2 linked regions of the Arabidopsis thaliana genome follow. The protein of the gene in region 1 interacts with the protein of each later gene in a biochemical or structural test. Each region holds a gene or a part of one and is shown on either strand. Other genes may lie near its edges.

Region 1 (8,544 bases):
TAAGGAGTAAGTGTAATATATATTTTTACACATGTTAATGAAATTCTCTTAGTAACTCACTAGCTTTTCTTCTATATGTGATCTAGTTTTTCGCATGTCGAATTCAAGATGCCGGAGTGTAGCATATGCGAGAGAGCTATGACTCATACTATATCCAAATTCAAAGGTAGAATAATATCTATAATCATAGTTTAAATGTATATAATTGATAGTAATATGAAGGGATATATATATATATATATATATATGTGCATGCATGTTGTAATTTGTTTTGTATGATTATTAGGAGTTACATTATGTGTGCCGGATAAAGAGAACCAAAAGATTAAGGTCTCTGGAAGTTTTAATAAGGAGAAGTTGTTGAAAAAAATCATGAAAGTTATTAAAGAATTGGAGATTCATGATGGGAAAAATGAAGAGAAAGATGAATTAATTCGGAAGAAACAAGAAGAAACTGAAATGGCGAAAATTATGATGTTGAATGATGAAAATGCCAACAGATGTACTATTTCGTAAAGTGTAGTTTGTTAAATGGTGATCGTTTTACAGGTTTTTAGCATTAAGTTTCATATCATTTTAAATTCAAATCATTTCTTTGGAGGTGGAGAGATTCTAGAAAGAAAAAAAAAAAAAAAAAAAGGATTGCATGAACTAATATCTTCACATTTCTCCCCATTTTGTAGTTTGCAAAATTATTATGTGTTCACTTTGTTTTTTAGTTGTGTGTTTTAAACTATTCACATATTTTTAATAAACTAATTTTCTCATCCATTCTAACTTTAATCTATAGATTAAATTGATCAATTTATTTAAGATTTACATTATAGTATATTTAATTGGTGAAGATAAATTTATATATAAAATTGATTACATTCATCTTTATGAACCAAAAAAAATAAATCCTAAAATCATCTTTTTAGTGAAAGAGGAAGTATATTAGATATAAACATAATTAAGATACTATATCTTTTCTTTTCATTTTTTTATTCAATTTAATTATGATTACACTATTTTATATTTATTAGGTATAGATAAATTCCCAAGTAAAGTATACTTAATAAGTAAAACTGAATACATTCATCTTTATGAAAGCAAACTATAATCATAATCATCTTATTTAGTGAGAGTAATTATTAGATAAGATTATAAGAACATAATGAAGATACTCTATTATTGTCTAATATTTTCTTAACAAGAGAACTCTCTTCTGTAGATAGAGTCTTTCAATGCCTTTAGGCTCTTTGGGGATATTTTGAAAAAAAAAATACTTGTATCCAATCTTGTAAAACCGGATTGGAATGTAAACCGGAAAGTGGTTCGGGTCACTGCATTGGTACGTTCGATCGTCAGTCAATGAGGCCATATATATAGGTCCAGGTTTAAAAACACTGCTCGTACCAAAATATGTCACACAAAGCTATGAAAGATACACAAAGAGATGTAATTGATTTTTACAAGATGTTAGATTATTGTACAACACGATCTCCATCACAATCCTAAACAAAATTACAAAACAAATACCAGTTTTATCATAATACTAATCTTTGCACAACCTTTGCCTTTGCCTTTCTCTTCACAATCTTAGTAAATATATATAGCTGTTGCCAAAGGACTTCTCGGCGGGAATTCTGATCAGTACTTAGAAGAAACCTTGGGTTGCATTTAGAGTGTTTGTATACATATGTTTTAGCCAACAGATTCTTACTCTCAAAACAGAGCTTCCCTTGGTGCACCGATTAAGTTAAGTGCGGTTGCTGCGATGTGAGATGGCATGAGTCCAGCTTCAGCTAGTTGATCAGCTGGTGCACCGTGATCAATGTATCGATCAGGCAGTACCATTGGTCTCCACTGTATATTCAAACAGTTGCAAATTAGAAACAGTATTTTTTGAAAAGACAGAAAAATATTAGAGAGTTTCTGGAAGTAATAAGTAACCTTGAGTTTGCCATCAAGAAGACCATCGAGAGCAAGAAACTGAACAACGTGCGAGCCAAAACCTCCAATGGAACCTTCTTCAACCGTGATCAGAACCTCGTGCGACTTAGCTAAGCTGCGAATGAGAGCACGGTCCAATGGCTTGCAAAACCGTGCATCCGCTACAGTTACGTTTAATCCGCGTTCTTCGAGCATTACAGCCGCTCCTAAACAGCTCTGAACTGCTGAGCCATAACCCAACAACGCAACTCTCTCTCCTTCCTTTAAAATTCTACCTTTCCCAATCTGAAATACACCCAAAGAGATTTTCTATCTCAAAATGATGAAGGAAGAGAGACATATTTGAGAGGACCAAAGTTATACCTCAATTGGAACACCTTTGTTTCCGGGAGGTAATGCAACTCCAATACCGTTACCTCTAGGGTAACGGAAACAAGAAGGACGATCATCAATCGCAACAGCAGTTGCAACCATGTTAAAGAGATCTGCTTCATCTGATGGAGCCATCACTATCATGTTAGGAAGACAAGCCATAAATGTCACATCGAAAGCTCCACAATGTGTCGGACCATCAGCTCCAACGAGTCCAGCTCTATCCATTGCAAATCTCACCGGTAATTTTTGCAAATCAACATCATGGACAACCTACAGAGAAGGCCACCATATACTCTATTAGTTTCTTAAAATGTTTTATTACAAAGTAAAATGATTAAGATGTTGAACTTGCCTGGTCATAAGCACGCTGCATGAAAGACGAATAGATTGCACAGAAGGGTTTAAGGCCTTCACAGGCTAAACCCGCAGCAAAAGTAACTGCGTGTTGTTCCGCTATTCCTACATCGAAACATCTTGTTGGGAAGCGACGTTGAAAGAGATTTAACCCGGTTCCACCTCCCATGGCTGCATGAATCGCAACCACATCTTTGTCTACCTCTGCTTCTGCGACTAATGCCTCCGCAAAGTAAGTTGTGTAAGATTGAGTCTTATTAGTAGTTTTGAACTGTCTACCCGTTGCTGGATCAAATTTCACAACACCTGAAAGAAAAATAATCAATATATATATCCCACTGCTTAGGAACTAGAGAAAACGTTATCTATCTAACTTGTTTTACCATGGTATTTGTCATCAGCTCTCTCCGCGTAAGGATAACCACGACCTTTCTCCGTCACCACATGAATAAGTACAGGTCCTGTGGTTCTGGTACTCTTAACTTCTTTAAGAATGGCTACCAAATCATCTATGTTGTGCCCATCAACTGGACCAATATAGTAAAGACCGAGTTCTTCAAACAGTGACGATCCAGTCCCGCTTATCATTCCTCGAGCATACTCATCTACCTTAGCCGCCAACTGATGCATTGGTCCGCCTATTTGCTTTGTCATACCCTATACGCAAGAAAAGCCAAAATTCTCATCAAGTCCATAAAGACCAGTATTCTTTACCATTCTAGAAAAGAAATGCAATAAACTTGCCTTTGCGACTTCTCTCAACTCTCTGAGAGCCGGGTTAGACTGTAACCGACTAAGAGCACTGCTCAATGCACCAACAGGTGGACTTGGTCCATCCAAAGTAGCTGTAGGTAATGAGACTTGCTTGTTGTCATTAAGAATCACAATCATATCAGAGTCTAGATATCCGGCGTTGTTCATGGCTTCATAAGCCTGTCCTGCCGTCATCGCACCATCACCAATCACAGCAACCACATTGTTGTTCTTCCCCTTCAAATCCCTTCCTACCGCCATTCCTGTAAAACTCATATATCTGATTCAGTTCTGTTTTCTTATTACAGTTTACTGTCTAAACACAACAACACAAGGCAAACACACCAAAGGAATGATTGATTGTATTACCTAAACCAGCAGATATTGTGGTTGAGCTGTGTCCAGTACCAAAGCAATCATGTTCACTCTCTCCTCGTTTGGTGAAACCAGAGAGACCATTGGTTTGCCTCATTGTAGGCATCTTTCCTCTTCTCCCAGTAAGAATCTTATGAGGATAAGACTGATGACCAACATCCCAAAGAATCTTGTCTTGTGGAGTATTGAAAATGTAATGAAGAGCCACAGTAAGCTCCACAACACCAAGACTTGACCCCAAATGTCCACCGGTTTTCGACACATTAAAGATCACGTCTGATCTCAGCTCATCAGAAAGTTGTTTCAGTTCCTGCAATAAGTTGTTACCAAATGCCACCAATCCATCAATTTGTAAGAAAGCTAAAACAAATGCATCAAAGCTAGAATCTTTACCTTGACAGAAAGATTTTTCATGTGGATTGGGTAGTTAATAGTGTCAAGTAATGGAGTTGGTGGTCTGTTTGAATAATATTCACCCTTCTCTGCAAGTGAAGCACACACTTTTGCTCTTCTGTTTGACTGTACCACAACACAAAACCCAAATCGCAAAAGCTGTCATTTTCTCTAATCAGTTCCCAGAAATCAGAACCAAAGAAGCAATATTATTGGTCTAATTTCACTATATTTTCCACAGATTTCCAATAAAGTAACTAAGAAAAGGAGTCAAATTTGTTTGACTTTTGTCAAAAACAAAGTAAACCCATTATTTAATTCAAGATTTCAGCAAATGGGCAAGCTACAAAATCTCATAGTTCTTAAATCAAGTTCCATGATGAAGCAGAGAAGAGAGAAGTGAACTTACATGGGAATTGTTGTTGGGTTTCAGACATGGTGATGGAAGATCTGTAACCAAAGATCTAGAAGAAGACAAAGAAGTTGATTTACAAGAATCAGTTGAAAGTCCTCCTTTGGTTATTATGTAAGAAGGAAAAGCAAATGCAGAAGAAGCCATTGGAGGTACTTTTTGAAGCTCAAGAAAGTTGAAAACTTTAGGAATGTAAGTAAAACATATAAGGATTTATAGAGAATAAAATTTAGGCAAATTTTGAGGTTATCAAAAACAGTAAAACAAATGAATAAAACGCACTTTCGAATCCCACTACAAGTGAAAGTGTGTGTTTAAATGTGGTGGTGACAATGGTGGTGGTGGAGAGTTGAAGAAGTATAAAGATGGAGACTTTAAAAAAATGGGGTGATGAAGTAAAACGACAAGAAAGCCAACTTCATGGATCACGAATTTTATGTAACCGTGCTGATGATATTAAAAAAAAAAAAGAGAGAGAAAAAAAGAGATGGTGAGATGGTTCGTCATCCGCAGAGAACTTGAGATTTTGGTTGGGCCACGTCAACCATGAAATCCAAGTTTTGGATAGATATTGATGATATTATTTATATACGTTAGTACATGTGTATATTGTTTGTTCCTTATTTCATTTATAAAGTTCTTTAAAAAGAAAATGAAAGAAAAGAAAATAAATAAATATATTCACGCATACATACCAAAGACGATAAAGGCAATATAATCTTTTGTGGTATAAAGAAATGGAATTTAAAATGATTATAGAAGAATTGTAATTTGATTTTTTTTTAATAAAAAAATTAACAAGTTTAGCAGGTACTGACAAAGAAAAAAATCTTTACAGTTTTTGATAAAATTGGAAACGTATATTTGTATACAGAAAAAAATCCTACTTTATATATTTCTATATATATATATAATTTCACACTATTATCTTCAATGATATTCCTCTGTTTCTACAAGAATAATTTTTAGATGTTTTACAAGAAAAATTTTTAAAAATAGCTTTTACAGTTTGTTATTTTTATTAATTTAATAATATTAATTTTACTTTTTTCTTTGTTTTTGTCAACAATTTTCTCCTCTTTCTATCGGTAACAAATGAAAGTAAATAATAATGTTGATATAAACATCAAACTATTAGAAACAAAAGGAGTATTTAATATAACCAAGATAGTGCGGTAGTGTCGTAACTCGTAAGTGTATGATTTGGGTTAGTAACTTAGTATTATCGATCTTATTACATTAATAAAGTTTAATATCATATTAAACAACTACATAGATTAAATTTTATGATATTATCACATTATTAAATGAGCGAGAATCACGTTACAAATCCGACAAAACATATAATATTTGACATTCTTGATTATTGGGTTTCAATTGAGTCAAATATGAATAAACAAAACTTACATGAAAGTTTAAGTTTAAGTGTTTAACTAACGACAGTTCCATCACAAAAAGAAAAATTGTAATCACGCGGTTCATTTTATAATATATCAAAACTTATTAAGAAAACAAGCATGTTAAATTGATATGTTAAATTTTTAAATATTGCATTTTCAAAATGATATGTTATTTTTAACTAATTTTTAATGGTGGTTTTTCGATTTTCAATTAGTTTGAATATAACAGTTGGATAAAATTTTGTCGAAACTGCTTGAAATGCAAGATGACAATATTATCAGCTTGTCAGAAATACGTATATGCCAAATTTTCATCATAACGTTTTTTGGAAACTCTCAGATTCAAAGATATTTCTTGAATCTTCTGACAGACAAACTATTGTTTGATCATAATAAACCGACAAAACAATTAATGTATATGCACGTATACATCATAAATATACAAATACGTATTCTCTACCAAAACATTGTAATAGAAAATCGCCTAAAATGTACGAGGCATTCAAATTACTATGTTATTGTTGAAAGCATACCATATTGACGACTTAGTGAATATGACTAAGTAAACTAGATCAATAAACACAAAACCTAGTTCTCAAACTTGATTTTTTCATAAAAAAGTTGTCTTATCAATAGATTGAGAGGTTTTCAAAAAGTTCAAAATATCAAAACGAATAGAGAAGATCTCGAGAGATTGGATAGTTGTGCGAATGCACTCTGATAAACCATTCTAACAACATACAATCAAACATGTTACTAACAACATTTAGGAGGAAACAGGTTCATTGATCACTCGAATGTCACCTCTTTATCATTTCCTTGTATTATCAGTGATCAACTTCACTTTTTGGAGAGGTTCAACCCTATTCCAAAAGGTAACTGTTTTCCCTTCATCTCACCATGTATATCATCATCTACTTCATATGACTTCTCTACTGATTCTAGAACACTACCATAAAAAAACATTCTCATTAACCTACCATTATATCCGTTCACATTGACATCTTCCAACACAACAAATTTGTATCTTCACAATGGAAAGAATAATGAAAATTACGAGTAGAAGTTGTGTTCTGGAAAGAGGTTCGGCTCAAATATTGGCAAGACCCGGTGCTAGAGCGGACCCAAAAAAATTAAGGGTTATTGGAAAAAAAATATTGGCCTATGATTATTATTAAAGAAGTGTGGTTTCTAATTATAGAAATGTTACTTTTAAGAAACTTGGATATTTCCATATTTATTTTTTAAACCAAATTTAGAATTTTAAGGTATATTTCTTGATTAGTGGTTCTGTTTTTTTAGATAACTAAGAATATTTTTAATTTTTTAAATATAAGTAGTTTTTTTTTTTTTTTTCAACACAACTTTGCTTTATTAACTTGTACCAGAATAATCAGCATGTTGTGCTTCTGCTATACAACGAGGGATGTAAAAATGAGAAACATATAATCATAATTAGTAGCTATTTGTTTTTCAAAAAAGTAGAACTTTTTGTATGAATTAAATAAAGATTTTTTTTTGGACCATATCGTCTAGCACTCCTAACACATGTGTTAAGTCGGGCCTGTAGGACCTATGGAGCTCAATTGATCACAAATTTCTCTAAACTCACGAAGATAATTAGGCAAGAATTCATTTTATCTCGAATCATTTGCAATTTACATCAAAGTTCAAGATAAAGAAACTAATTATTTTGTAAAGATATCATGTATACTCATGTGTGTGTTGATAGTGATGACTGAACTTTCCGAAAAAACGTGAGAAATTACTGTCTTTCTCAAAGGTTCTACTTTTTATTTTGTAAACCTTGAACCTTTTTGTCTAGAACTCACAAGACTCTTATAACATGAATGTCTTTAGTTTCTTATAATTTGTTATCAAGCTTTCTGTCTAAGACAGAAAATCTTATTGTGTTCTAACTTTGTGTAAACATATCTGTATATTTGTGTTAGAATGAGATTAAAAAGGAAATAATGGAACCATAATTATATATGAACCCAAATTCACTTGTTTTATCGAACTAATTAATAAAATGTTGCTATCACAGTTTATTTGCAAGCATGTTTTGAAATGTTTAACTCATAACATTTTTTTAGGGCCGACTGTGCAGTCCTCTTATTGATTAATTACATAATGGATCTGATGATGCACAAAATGGCTAGATACGTGACGATCAGGTTTTCTTGTCATAGTCGATATCTTTCTTTTTTAAGAATTTTTTTTATCCGATCTTGTTTGGACAAAAATCGAAAGTTTATCTTTCAAGTTTTGGGATAATTCTTTAATCTTTTTGCATGACATGTCGTCACTATCAAAAGATATTATTTTTTTTTAATTGAGATATCAATTACTTCATCCATATGAAATCAAATTAATTCTCCATGAGTAAATATTGAAGTCAAACTTCTTGAATATTATAAAACATAAAAACTTCACCTTTAATCATTAATCTAATAACTTAGTGTCGTGCCAATGATTAAGAGGCCTACGGCAAAAATTTAACAAACATAGCCTCTTTTTAAATTAACTAAAAACTCATATGTATAA
Region 2 (6,748 bases), 870 kb from region 1:
GCCAACTGAATCAATCAATTAAACTTTTGTTCCCTCGTTAAAAAAACACACACTCATTATACAACTCAAAACATTAGAGTACACGCATTATAACAAGGGGGCATCATCCTCCTAAGAGGTCATGCTTTTATTAAGCAAAATACTGAAAGCTTTTCATGAACCAGTCACGTTTATACGAAGTGAGAATGTGACCAATGGTGAGTCCACACACAACACCAGGTACGTAGCCTATTGCAGCTGCGATCCAGCTCAATACTTGATCTTTTTCTTCATCTTGCTCTTGCTTTGTTGCTTCTTTTTCTTCTTCTTCTTCTCCCCCGCAAGTTTCTTGGAGAGGAACACCGCAGAGCCCGAGATTCTCTGCGAATGAAGAACTATTCTGGCTTTGAATCTGAGTGCCTTGTGGAATTGGACCTTCAAGCATGTTGTAGGAGAAGTTCATTTGTGCTAGAAACGTGAGTTTCCCGAGCTCTGGTGGGATTTCACCGGATAATCTGTTTTTAGAAAGATCCAATGATTCGAGATCAGTCAAATTCAACCGTTGTTTGACATATTGAGCACAATCAGTTCTTTAAGTAAACCGATTGACTCGGGAATACGTCCTTCGAATCTGTTTCCGGAGACATCGATGGTTTTGTAAATCGTGAAAACACTCCCAACCAACTCTATTATCGATCCTTTGACCGTCATAGTCACTGAGTTATAATAGTTTCCTGAGTCACGTCCAGCATACCTACTCGGCATAATATCTACGATGTCTACGGCTGATGACATTGCACTCCAACCCGCAAAGAAATCTGATCGAAGGACTCCATTGAAGCGGTTTTCCGAAATGTCAAAGATTCGCAGCTTGGGGAAGCTCAAAGAATCTCCAAGAGAAGATATTGGACCATGAAACTCGTTAGAACGAAGGACAAAAATCTGAAGTTTGGGCAACATTCTCAACCAGAATGGAAACTTGTCATTGATTATGTTGTCTTCCACGTTCAGAAACTCGAGACGAGTGCAGTTGATCAAAGACTTGGGAAGTTCTCCTGATAACCGGTTGCGACCAACGTCAAGTGATCTCAAGTGATCACTGATAGATTCCTCTGGAAACTCACCGGATAAGTTGTTATTCCGAAGATGCAAAACCGAAAGAGTAGTATTAAACTTCTCGAAACACCGAGGAATGGAGCCGTTGAAGTTGTTGTTGGATAAAACAAGTGTATCAAGAGAAACCAATTTGCATATAGTCTTAGGAATCTCTCCCGAAAACCGATTATCAGAGCCTAAAAAGATCGTTGTCGAGTTTGGTAACAAAGGAAACGGATCTTGGAATGTGTTTGAACTTATGTCAAGCATAAGTAATTCTCCACATCTTTGAATAACATCTGCTGGTCCTTCAAAGCCACTGAAAGAATTTTGAGAAATGTTAACATACTGCAACTCCGGTAGACTCCACAACCATTGTGGTACTTGGCCTCCAATTTTATTGGCAGAGATGTCTAAATAATACAAAGTGGTTTGGTTTTCTAGAAAATTGGGGAACTCAGGAATATTGCAAGATGATAAAATCAAGGTGCCCATGGGTGAGGGAAGACTTAGAGTTGAACTGATCTTCAAATTAATCCCGGAAAGATCCAAATAACCAAGTGACAAGAGAGGTGAGAATATACTTATGTCAACCATGCTTCTTGTATTAATATAAGAGAGGTCAAGGAACGTAAGTGACTTGAGATGCAAGAAAGTGTTGAAATCGACCATGCCTCTCTTTGTGTTCCATAAAGAGAGGTCAAGATAAAAGAGACCAACTAGTTTCGATATAGACTCCGGGATTGGCCCATTGAAATTGTTTTCTAGAAGGGACAAAACTCCAAGATTAGATGGTGAAGAGATATTACCAAAGTCAAGAGGACCGTTGAAGTCGTTTCTTCCCAAAACAAGAGAGGTCAATGAAGGTAGCATGAAGAGAGACGATGGGATAGATCCGGAAAATGAATTTCTATCAATCCCAAAATACACCAATTTAGAGAGGCTACTCATATTAGATGGGAGCATACCTCCGAACTGGTTAGAACCAAGGTCGATCAACGTAAGCTCGCTCAAATTGAGTAGCATACTAGGAAAGTTCCCACTGAGCTTGGCCGATCCAAGATGCAACTCTGTTAGCTTGTTTAAATGTCCCATCGAATCCGGTAGCTCCCCGGTGAAATCATTAACAGAAAGATCAAGATTAGTGAGATAAGTAAGATTTCCAAGTGAAGAAGGAATCTTTCCAAAGAGATTACAATCACCAAGACTCAAAACCCTCAAATATTTGAGGCTGCCTATGGAATCCGGTAGAATACCCGAAAAATTATTCGAGCCAAGATCCAGATTATGAAGATGTTGTAGTCTAAACAAGCTACTATCATATCTCAAAGGACCATTAAGAAAACTGTTCATGAGGTCTAACTCTACCACCTTACCCGTTTTAGGATCACAAGAGATACCATCCCAAGAACAGCAATCGGTGTTGTTCCTCCACTTCTCTGTCTTCTTAACACCAACAATCCCATTGGAGTTGAACTCATGGACATAAAACTCGTTCTTAAACTCCAAAAGAGCATTCTTCTGGTCTTGACGACATAAGTGCTTAACATGAGAAGCCAAAACCAGTTTTGAATTAGAAAGGGACAAGATTAAACACAAGCTCCATATTGTCATCTTCATCTGACCTCAACAATGCAATAAACTTTTTTTCTTTGATTTTTTTTTTCTCAGAAAGTGAAATGAATGATGTTCAATGTTTATAAGTGATGGCTCTAGTAATAGACCCAAAGACTGTCTTACATTTTGTGGAAAAAAGAAAAAGCTTGACTTAACAAGTCTCTTGTAAAAAAAATGGCGTCATCTTCCACAAAGATATATGAATTTCCAAATGAACGCTCCACAAAGTCAATTATGTCTCCTCTTGCATAAAAGTATTAACCCTAAAAATAATTCAATTACTTGCGGTGTGGGGTTACCGCAGTACAAAAAGTAGAGCGTGTGGGGTTACCTCAGCTGTGTGGTGAGTGCTACGCAATTGCGCAAACGCTCTTTAACGGGGCACGCTCGTGACTCGTGAGAGAGTCAGTCACACACCGTAAAAGTTACCGATAAACTCTCAAAAAGTCTTTTTTGGCTTTGCCAAATTTCTAAAATTCAATCAACATTTTCTTTCTTCTTTTCGTTTACATTTTTGTATTAAAAAAAAAACTCTAATGGGCTCGTGGAGGTAGCTGAAGCCCAAAATATGGGATAAGGGCTATAAGGATTGTCGATCATATCTTCTTGCGCCGTCAAAAAGCTTCCAGTCGCAAACGATGACAACTTTCCATTAAACTAAAATGACATAAATACCCTTCAAAATCCACATATTACTCTCAACTGTTTCATCTACCTCCCTCCCTCTCTCCCCATTCCCAAACTACACATTACACATTACCAATTCTCATATTAAAATCCACAAAACTCAAATCCCCAAAATAAACAAACCCTAAAATTCAAAACAATGAAATGTTACAAAAGCTCATCAATTCTCTCAACCAATCACCACCCATTCTTCTACAAACAACAACCAATCTCCTCTCTTCAACCAACTTCAATCCCAACAACTATCTCTTACCCAACCCGAACCCGATTCTCCTCCACCCGGATCCAATCTCGATTAACCCACGACGATCCAGTAAAACAATCGGAAGACTTATCCTTCTACGATCTTCTCGGCGTCACCGAATCAGTCACACTCCCAGAAATCAAACAAGCTTATAAACAACTAGCTCGAAAATATCACCCCGATGTTTCTCCTCCGGATCGTGTCGAAGAATACACAGATCGGTTTATTCGTGTTCAAGAAGCTTACGAAACTCTCTCCGATCCTCGCCGGAGAGTTTTATATGACCGTGATTTGTCTATGGGGTTTTCTTTTTCTTTCTCCGGTCGACGCCAGAACCGTTACGATCAGGTAATTAATTATTAAATTTAATTTTTTTGCGATAACCGAAGTTTTTGTTAGGAGAGAAAAAATCAGCACCATTTGTTTGGGTTTATTATGGTTAAGAAAATTTAAGAGTTAGCAATAATTTTAGTGTATGTGTTATTGATAAATTTATCAAGTGATGTTGATGTTATTGATTTGGATATTTTTGGTTCATATGTGGACAAATAGTGTGTAGTATTATCCTCAAAAATTCTATTTTTATTCTTTTTATTTTTCGAATTTCTAGATTTACTCGGTAGATTCAAGAACCTTTATGGTGTCGACAGAATTGACCTTATCTTTAACATGGTCCAATAAATTGACCCATGTGTCGATTATTAGGTGACAAATTAGCAGTGGAATAGAGAATAATGAACTCATTGATCCTATTTGCTACAATCATGGGTCTTCTTATAATTGATTTGGGTTTTGGTGATTGTTGTGATTGTAGGAAGTGGTGGAAGAGAAGAGTGAGTGGAAAGCAAAATGGCAAACTCAGCTCTCAGGGTTAAGGAGAAGAAGCAATCAGAAAGATAATAACACGATGTCTTGGGCTGCAAGAATGCGTCGTCAACAACAAGAATCTTCTTAACATACGACATCGAGTCTTTAGCCTTGTTATGTATAGTCTTTTAATTGTTTGTGTGTAATATAGAAAGCATAGCATCAATACCCCAGCAACTTTGTATATATGTAATGTATATACTCTTCTATGTGCTTATGCCAATCGGCGGAAGCACATTACTTTAGATAAATACCCTGATTACTAAATAAGCTTTCTTTGGTTGTGCGTTTTATGTTTTGTGTTTTACGTTTTGAGTGGAGAACGGGATTCTAGGTGTGGCAGCAACGTTTGTAATGGTTATTGAGTGATAATTCTGTTTAAATACGGCGGTTAAAAGCTTTTTTAAGTGGCTCTGGAGAAAGTGGTTAAAAGCGGCAGGAGATGGCAGTATAGCGGTTCAAAATTATATACGATTGGTAATATTTGTAGGCAATGTGGTGACTGATGATAATAGGTATACAGTAATGAATATGAGCAAAAACTATTGAACAAAATGAAAATATGAATCACCTTAAACTAGAGGTAATTGTTGATAAACTTTTTAAGGGTTTCAATGGTGATCTTATTATATTTTAGGAAATATTTTAAAATATATGAAAATAACAAAAATCTAATCATATTAAAATAAACGGTTGTAAATGCTCTATTTTTATAACCGTCATGTTTCTTTTATTCACCACCACTTATTTTATCCGTCCGTTACAACTAATTATTTCATCCGTCCATCAGACTCTTAACCAACGAGGTAGCCTTAATATATGTAACTAATCAACTTTTAAAGATGATTGCTTCCAACAAATTGCTTAAGGATTTGACTTGTGACCTTGTTTAATCAATAAAGATTTTCTAGATTTTGTGGAGAAGAGTATAAGAATAATGTGAAAAATTATGGTTAAAAATAGTGTTATGATTAAAATAGTGTTATAAACCAAACATTGAGTATAATATTTTACCATAAATAAAATTAACATAACCAAACCAAACTACACAAAACAGATAAACATTGTAAGCCAAAATTTTGAAATATATGAAAATTACATAACTCCAACCGTTTTAAAGTAAACGGTTACAAGCACTCTTTTCCATACGTTTCATAACCGTCTTGTGTCATCTACTCACATGTTCGCCACTCCAACTATCTATTTCATCCGTCCATCGGACTCATAACCAACAAGGTAGCTGAACATTCAATAACCTTAATTTATGTAACCAATCAAATTCTAAAAGTGATTGCTTTCAACCACACTTCTTCTAATCACTTTCTCCAACCACACTTCTTCATGGTACCTCCCTAAATGGTTTTACTCAAACTGACACCAATCAAACCACCATGACAGATACGAAAACAAATACTTATATCAGTTATTTAATTTTACAACAACGTTACAAATTACAATCCAACAAAAACATAAACATACATAAAACCAACGGAAACTTTACTTTTTTTTTTTTTTTTTGCGAAACTTTACTTGTTTTAAAACGATAACATAACACTTCATCACTTCACGTTTACACTTATTATTTGCCGTTTGATTTCTCATGGCGCGATCAAACCAAACTTCTTAAATTCCAATTTTACCCTCTCCATCTCTTCCTCCGGCAACGTAACCGTCACAACCCTCTCCTCCGATTTCGCCGCCGCGTAAACAACCACCAATCCCTCCTCCCCTATCCCCTCCACATTACAATAAACCGACTCCGGCGACTTCCCCATCACTTTCGCCTCATACAAATCCTCACCAGTCAGATCCAGAAACGTCAATTTCGCTCCATAAACAACAAAATCCAAATTCCCATCGCAACTCTCTCCGATCTCCTCAATTCCACATCTCTCATCCTTCGCTTCCCCCATAGCTTTCACTAATTCCTCCACCGTCGCTTCCGCCACCGGAAAATCCACGCTCACTGAGCTGATCACCTGACTGTTTCGAATCGCATTAAGTTTCAGATCGTTCGGATCTTTTTTAATGATCGTAACCGTTACAGGCTTTGGCTCTACCCTAACTTTAGCTATGCATTTCCATATGATTCCGGCGAGAATCTCGAACACCGGAATCGAGTCATCTCCCTTCGCCGGAAAATGTGGTGATATCTGATCGGCGACTGAGAGATTGAAACAGTAATTCGCCAATTTCTTGTCGTTTGGAGTGACCCAGAGATCTCCAACGGGTTCGACCCGTTTAATTGAAACCGGATCT

The links.
Region 2: the proteins of CLA1 (region 1) and J20 form a complex in vitro, tested with the Arabidopsis thaliana proteins (one study listed by BioGRID).

Annotation. Positions count from the first base shown.
Region 1 is NC_003075.7:8,880,418-8,888,961, reverse strand, and holds CLA1 (Deoxyxylulose-5-phosphate synthase), read right to left. Parts: upstream 5,138-8,544; 5' UTR 4,745-5,137; coding exon 4,595-4,744; intron 4,312-4,594; coding exon 4,186-4,311; intron 4,103-4,185; coding exon 3,787-4,102; intron 3,681-3,786; coding exon 3,409-3,680; intron 3,322-3,408; coding exon 3,048-3,321; intron 2,971-3,047; coding exon 2,663-2,970; intron 2,581-2,662; coding exon 2,299-2,580; intron 2,221-2,298; coding exon 1,936-2,220; intron 1,849-1,935; coding exon 1,708-1,848; 3' UTR 1,295-1,707; downstream 1-1,294. Other genes in the region: AT4G15562 (superoxide dismutase 1 copper chaperone-like protein), read left to right, coding at 1-6, 87-166, 287-516.
Region 2 is NC_003075.7:8,008,001-8,014,748, forward strand, and holds J20 (DNAJ-like 20), read left to right. Parts: upstream 1-2,966; 5' UTR 2,967-3,517; coding exon 3,518-3,970; coding exon of another isoform or gene 3,971-3,985; exon of another isoform or gene 3,986-4,232; coding exon of another isoform or gene 4,233-4,331; exon of another isoform or gene 4,332-4,436; coding exon 4,437-4,577; 3' UTR 4,578-4,880; downstream 4,881-6,748. Other genes in the region: AT4G13820 (Leucine-rich repeat (LRR) family protein), read right to left, coding at 535-2,694; AT4G13840 (HXXXD-type acyl-transferase family protein), read right to left, coding at 6,088-6,748. UniProt on the Arabidopsis thaliana protein: Plays a continuous role in plant development probably in the structural organization of compartments.